Elephas maximus indicus: one gene and its partner. The protein of the gene in region 1 interacts with the protein of each later gene in a pairwise test. Links are inferred from orthologs where the notes say so. Each region holds a gene or a part of one and is shown on either strand. Other genes may lie near its edges.

The links. The genes of interacting proteins can lie anywhere in the genome.
Region 2: the proteins of CDA (region 1) and PLEKHB2 interact in binary tests that used the Homo sapiens proteins (3 or more experiments, as listed by UniProt). The two-hybrid records come from large-scale screens. The link is inferred for Elephas maximus indicus from reciprocal best matches to the Homo sapiens genes CDA and PLEKHB2.

Annotation. Positions count from the first base shown.
Region 1 is NC_064821.1:60,841,998-60,845,747, forward strand, and holds the start of CDA (cytidine deaminase), read left to right. Parts: upstream 1-1,511; 5' UTR 1,512-1,583; coding exon 1,584-1,737; intron 1,738-3,750. UniProt on the Homo sapiens protein: This enzyme scavenges exogenous and endogenous cytidine and 2'-deoxycytidine for UMP synthesis.
Region 2 is NC_064824.1:17,843,647-17,847,396, reverse strand, and holds the start of PLEKHB2 (pleckstrin homology domain-containing family B member 2), read left to right. Parts: upstream 1-856; 5' UTR 857-978; intron 979-3,750. UniProt on the Homo sapiens protein: Involved in retrograde transport of recycling endosomes.

The sequences.
Region 1 (3,750 bases):
TTAGTATTTGTGAACCTATATCAATAACTTTTGGAGAGCGAAGTTAGTAATTAAAGGAAAAGAAGTGATATACAGGAATTACGATTTACAAGTAACATCAATACAAAAAATATTACTAAGGATTCCATATGGTCTGGTATGGGAGGAGGTCCGTGGAGGGGGGTGACACCATTGGTTACTGCACTGGGTGACACTAACCCTTGTGACGCCACTGACAATAACCCCAATTGTGTGGAGTCACAAAGAGCGCTGACACTGTGAAGTCACTGGATCCTCCAACCACGCTCACCGTGCAGGCATTATTTCATTCCATCCTCATCTCTGTTAATGAGATACTGTTAGTACACCCATTTTATAGATGAGAAGACTGAGGCTCAGAGAGATAGTGTGACCTTCCCAAGGCCACATGGTTAATAAATGGCAGAACCAGGAATCAAACCAGGGTCTACTAAACTCCAAAGCTCAAGTACGTATATATCCCAGGATGTAGAAAGGTCTTAGATGAGAAAACTGTGGCTCAGAGAGGTCAAATGACTTGCCAAAGGTTGTACATCTGGAAAGTGGCAGAGGCAGTATGCAAACATCTCCCCCCCCCTTTTTTTAAGCACCAAACTCATGTCCATTTTAGCAACCAGAAGATAAGGGGGCCCAAGTAGATGATCTCAAAGGTCCCCTTCAGTTGAGAAGCATTTGAGTTCTGGGTTGTAGAGGAGAGGAGCTGGAAGGAGAATGGATGCAAATAAAGAATCTCCTTGGTCTTATTGCAGTTCCTCATGCCTCATGACTCAGACAGCCAGTGTGGTTGCCCCAGACCTGCCCTTTCAGCCTCATCTCTTCCTTCAGTGAAGGCGAGAAAAAGTCATTCAACAAACTGAGGGCCATCAAGTTGCGGAGCTTGGGTCTCCAGGCCCTCACACTTATCCCCGCAGCAGGTTCTTCCCGGAACGGTATGAGTCCACAGTCACCCACCACACAGCGCCGCCCCCCCCCCGCCCCCCGCTCATAGTGGCACAGGCCCTCACTCACCCAGCAGTGTGTCAGCAGTGACAGCTGCCCCTAAGCCAGATTATGAAGCAGTCACACCCTTCCACATTGGAACACACACCAGCACTGGGACACACACCACACCCTCTGACCCCACACCCAAGGTGCCCCTCAGAGGTCTACCGGGGGTAGAGGGATGCACTTGCCCCAGGCGGGTCCAAAGGAGGACGCCAGACGAGGCTTGGAATGACATTCCAAGGCGCCACAAACATGAAAGGCGCCTGACTGAGACAGTTGGACAAGAAGGGAAAGGCATTTCTACTGATACGTCACTCTATCAACGTCTATTCATTCATCTTGACATTGGGAGGGGGGCGTAATTTAGAGATTGCCCCTGGCACCTTTACCCTTGCTACGGCCCTGCCCTCTCCTCTCCCTGACTTGGTCCCACCCGGCTTTCCCGAAGGCCACGCACCTGAGAGCCTCTCGGACCTCGCGGCGGGGACACACCCCCGGGGAGGAGCTGCAATTGCAAGCCCAGCTGGCTGCGGCCAGCTCGGGTTTCCTCTCCTCCGCCCAGAGACCAGACAGGGACCAACATGGCACAGAAGGGTCCCGCCCGCGCCCTGGAGCCCGAGCACGTCCAGCGGCTGCTGCTGTCCTGCCGCGAGGCCAAGAAGACTGCCTACTGCCCCTACAGCCACTTCCCTGTGGGCGCCGCCCTCCTCACTGGGGACGGCAGGATCTTCTCCGGTAAGGGCGGACGCCCGGGGCTCCTCATCCCCGGCCGCATTGGGAAGGGTAAGGGGAGGACGGGCCAGACTCGTGGAAGAGGCACCGCGAAGACAGCCCAGCTCTGCCCTCGCCAGCTCCTGTCCCCTTCTCTGGGCCTCTCTTGCCCTGCCTGCTGCGGAGGGGAGGGGGGCAGGGCGGAGGGCAAAGGGTGTAAACGTGCTTACAAACTCTACTGCTGGTTGAAACCAGGGGCTTGCAATCCTCAGAGGACTGGGAAGCAGGAAGGAAGTTTTGAAGGGGAGGCAGGAAGGGACACAAACCAAGAGCATCAGGCAGTCCTGAGCTGGGATGAAGAGGGTTAACTCTTTCGGAGCCCCTGTGTGCCTGGCACTGTGCTGAAGCTTCCACAAGTTATATCAGTAAGTCCTACCCCCAAACACTCGCCTAGGTGTTACACCCATTTTTAGACGAAGAAACTGAGGCCCAGAGAGGTGATGTGACTTGCCCAAGGTCACACAGGGTATTCACGGTGGAACCCAGAGCTGGGATCCCCAAAGCCCTGCTCTCTTCCCTACACACACTCTCTGTGCTGGGGGAGAGGCAAGAATCCAGGTGGGATCACTCAGTGGGGTGCCGGCCTTCCAGGGAGTCCCAGAGGAAAGGAAACAGGCAGGGTTTGTGAGTCAGTGAGTGGGAGCCTAGGAAGATGGGGTGGAGAGCAAATGAATCTGAGCCCACACTAATCATCCCTAAGCTCCTTTTCTTTGGTTGGTTGGTTTTATAGAAAGTTTCACTTGAAAACAAAACAAAACAAAAAAACCTTGTTTTTGCTAAACTAAGGGGCAGCTCCACTCAGGAGAGGGGAGAATGTGATGTGAAGGTGGCAGGGAAGTTTTGCGCCCCCTCCGCAGCTAGAAAGTGGGCACACTGGACAGATGGGGAGATTCAACCCTGCTGCCTACAATCCCCTTCCACTTAGCAGCAGGTTTTTAAAGGACCTGAGGCTCCTATGTGTACACGTGGTTGGCAACCTCCCACCAACCCTCATCAGGTCCAGACTCAGGTCCCTCATTCCCACCACCGCTCCAGCTGTGAGTCCGCTTATAGGGACTGCATCTCCCCTTCTATCACAACCCTTCCTGGGCTCCTCCTTGATATTCATTTTATCTCCTGTCTTTTGAGATTCTGTTTCATGAATCACCTGGGATTTAAACTTCTTCAAGCTGAAGTAACATTGATTGAGCCCCTAGTATGAGAATATGACTAATGTTATCCACTTAACCCTCATCAAACCCACAATGCAGTTATTATATCACCACTTCACATCAGAGAGAGGTCCCTGGGTGGCACAAACAGTTTGTGCTGGGCTGCTAACTGAAAGATGGGTAGTTTGAATCCACACAACAGCACCACGGAAGAAAGGCCTGGTAATCTGCTTCTGTAAAGATTACAGCCAAGACCTTTTAACTCAGTACTCAAGTCGCTCCTGAGGTTCAGCCCAAGATGAGACAGGCCCATAAAACAAACAAGAATAAAACAACCATGTATATGAGATCAAACGGGCACACTAGCCCAGGAGCAAGGATAAGAAGGCAGGAGGGGACAGGAAAGCTGGACAAATGGAAATGGGGAACACAGGTTCGAGAAGGGGAGAGTGTTGACGTGTCACAGCGTTGGCAACCAATGTCACAAAACAATATCTGTATTAATTGTTTAATGAGAAACTAATTTGCTCTGTAAACGTTCATCTAAAGCACAATAAAAAAAATTAAAAAAAAAAAAAGATTACAGCCAAGAAAACCCTATGCAGTAGTTCTACTCCATCACACACGAGGTCACCATGAGTCAGAATCCACTCAGCAGCAATGGGCTTGGATTTTCTGGTTTTTGCAGAGGAGGAAACAGGCTCAGAGAGATTAAAATGACCAAGATCACAAAGCTGGGATTCAAACCCAGGTCTGCCTCAACTCTAAAGTCCACTATTCAGTAGGAGTAAAATGTCACACTGAAATTCAGGCCTGGCCTGATGGC
Region 2 (3,750 bases), on another chromosome or scaffold:
ATTTACTTTATTAAATTTATGTTAACAATTTTTGATGCTTTGCTGTACGTGACTTTACGTGGTTTTCCTTTTTCACGTTTGAGTTGCTCACCCAACTAGATGGAGAACTCCGGAGGTCAGGGATTTTTATTTCTCCTTGGCCTAGTTTTTTTTTTTTTTTTTAATTTTAAATCTCAAATATTGAGCGATTCACAAAAATGAGCGAACAGTAACTTTCTAGTTTTTCAGGATGGATGGAGGAAAGAAATGAGGTGGAATGGTCACATGGTCAAAAAATGTCGGGGAACATGTTAATTCAAAACGCCATTGACTCCTGGTGCCTGAGAATCTTTCACTTTTTTTTTTTCCTTGGCTATGGTTTGACAGGAGCCCTGGTGGGGTAGTGGTTAAGAGCTTGGCTGCTAACCAAAAGGTTGGCAGTTTGAATCCACTAGCCACTTCTTGGAAACTGTATGGGACAGCTCTACTCTTTCCTGTAGGGTCGCTATAAGTCAAAATCAACTGGACCGCAAAGTGTTTGGTTTGATTTGGTCAAGTTTGACTAGGACAAGGCGTAGGTACCACCACAGGGCAGCAAAGGAGGGTGAGAAGGGTTGCAGAACTAGAATATAATTAATGTCACTAAATGGTACACGTAGAAAATGTAACTGGTGCATGTTTTGCAATAATAAAATAAATAAAATTATATTTTTTTTTAAAAAAAGAAGAGATGGAGAAAGCTCCTAACCCGGTAGCCCGTGCTCCACCCCCTCCCTCCAAGCTCTCTTCCAACAACCCCAAGTTCTCCCGCCAGCAACTACAACTCCCAGAGTGTCCTCTCGCAACGCCAGGCGCATGTGCGTGCGCGTGACGCAGGCGGCCGCCCAGGATGTTCGCCGTTCGGCTCAGCTGTTTCTCTCACAGCAGTTCGGGAGCTAGAGACGCGTCGTTTTGCCAGCAGGCCCTGGTTCGGAGAGCGGCGTTTGGGCGTGGTTTCAGGTGACTGTCCCCCCGCCCCGGTCGTGGCGACCCCGCGCCCTGCAACCCTTGGGCCGGCCGCCCAGGCGTCCGGCCCGCGCCCCTCCGAGTGGACCCTCCAGCGTGCCTTCGCCCTCGGTCCCCTCCCGGCCCGCCCCCCCGGCCTCCGGTCCGGCGCTGGTACCCTCCACGTCCTCTCCCTTAGAGCCGCCCACGCCCGTCCGGACCCCACCCCCCGCGCGGCCCCTGCAGCCCCAGCCCTGCTCCTCCTTGACCGCTGGGCGCTCGTTTGCGCTCCCGACGTCCAGACGCGGGGCTCCTGCGCCGCCTCCTTTGTCCGAGTGCCGTCCGCGGGCCCGGCCGCCCTCCCGCCCTCTGGGGTCTCCTGGTTCCCGGGCTCCAGCGCCGGCAGCCGGCTCAGCCCCTGCTGCGGCTGCCGAGGTCGAGGGCATTACGGGCTCCTTTTTTCTCCTCTTTCCCGCCCGGAGGTCGCAGCTCTGGGGAGGAGGAGAATGTCTTTGACGCTTTGAGCTCGCGCGTGAATCCCACCGCGCTTCTCCAGGAGGCCTGTCCGCTGCCTTCCACTTGCTTTTGACAGTATCTTTAGTTTTTGATGCTTTGTTGTACGTGGCTTTATGTGGTTTTCCTTTTTCACGGTTTAGTCTCTCACCCAACTAGATGGAGAACTCCGGAGGTCAGGGATTTTTATTTCTCCTTGGCCTAGTTTTTTTTTTTTTTTAATTTCAAATCTGAAATATAGAGCGATTCACAAAAAACGAGTGAATAGTAAATTTCGGGATTTTCAGGATGGTTGGAGGAAAGAAATGAGATGAGACAGTCAAATTGTCAAAAAATCTCAGGGAACATGTTCATTCAAAATGCCACTGACTTCTGGTGCCTGAGAATCTTCCACTTTTTTTTTTTTTTTCTTGCCTCTGGTTTGACTGGACCCCTGGTGGGGCAGTGATTAAGAGCTTGGCTGCTTACCGAAAGGTTGGCAGTTCGAATCCACCACCCGCACCTTGGAAGCCGTGTGGGGCAGTTCTACTCTGTCGTGTAGAGTCTCCGTGAGTCAGAATAGACTGGGCCACAGAGAGTCTGGTTTGGTTTGACTAGGACAAGGTGTAGCCACCAGCAGAGGGCAGAGTGCTTACAACTGAAAGGAGGAATGTTCTATGCTCTCACTTGGACCCTGAGGGAACCATTACCAGTGCAGGAAGTGACTTCACCAGTCACAGGAGAAATTAGGTCCTGAGCTGGGACAGTAAACTGTTAAAAAAAAAAAAAAAAACTGTTAACTGGCCTTTAATATATAATATATATTTTTTCTTTATTATCCAAGTTTATTGTTGGGGTGAGTTCCTATCTATTGGGGACTACAACTGTGTCTCAGTATGTGCTGTAGTAACTCCAGGTTAATAGCCATTCTGCAAATAGTTGTACTGGGGCTTTGTAAGGCATGTAGGTCATAATTAAGTCAGTGGCGAATCAGCCCAGAAAAACCCTGACAATAGAGTCATTACTTTAGAAAGTTCCAGAGCTATGCAACCTGTAAAGCCTCATCTGTCAGCTGATGAGGAAACTGAAGGAGTTGGAGGAATGAAACAGCCCATTTTCTACTCTTCTGGGCAGGATAACTATGGCTCCAGTGCAGGACCCTGGTCTTGTAAAATCCTTTAAGCTCCCAAAGCAAGTGAAGTAAGACATATGGAGGAAAGGACCAGGAACTGGGACAGTGGAGGATTAAGTAGAATTGGAGGGAATGGAAACTTCTGGATTGGAAAGTAGCTGGGTTTAGAGGCCACCTGAAATGATAAAGGATATAATACAGGTAAAAGCAAATGGGGAAACAATTCAAATATGGGAAGTTATTCAGATACTAGAAATGAAGTGAAATTTATTCCTTTGTTGGGGGGGTGGGTAACTTGTTTAAAAAATATCAGAAAGATGAATCATTAACAGGGAAATGAGGACCTGAGTAGAGATTGGTGTTTCACGATGCCAAGAACAGCTTATGATACCAAGATGGGCTGAGTCTACAGGAAGAAGTGGTTACGGTAACCAGTTATCCAGATTTGATATTGGAATGACATTTCTAGCAATGGCTTTGTCTTTGAGATTCTGGCACATTTCTGTAGCAGATAGTTTTGAAGGAATGTTTTGATAACTCTTATGTGGGAAGGCAAATTACTATAGTGTAAAGATTCAGTGCCCCCTCCCTTGACCTGTATTCAGCAGGGTAGAAGATAGAAGTCCTGAAATAGTTGTGGCTAAGGTCCAAGCCCTCCCACTGCCCTTGGGATAGCATTATTAAAGAAATTAACCACACAAGTATCAGATGAGTCATTGGGCTTTATACCAGGTAGACAGTAGATAATTTATGGTGACTGCTTCATAAAAAAAAAAAAAAAAGGCAGCCTGAAAAACAGAACTGAGATTGCTAAATGCTGCTCTCTCCTTAAATATAATAATAATGAAAAAAGGGAGAGGGGGCATTAAACAAGACCTTAAATAAGTCTAGCTGCCGAGCAGATTGGGGCGATAAATAAAACAGCATAGTTTATTTTAATCTCTGTCTTGCGCACTAACCCAGTTTGTCTGTAGAAGAGCCATCTGCTGGCACCAGGCCAGTGTGTCTTAATTTTGCTGTTATCGTTAGTATCTTGTTTTTCCAAAAGAGGAAATGTGTAAGTCGCTGGTGTGTATAAGTGACTCAGCATTTCTAAAAAGCCTCTGTAGCCTTGACCTGTGTGAACACAGGTTCTACTCTTGGAAGCATTTTCGAAGGCAGAG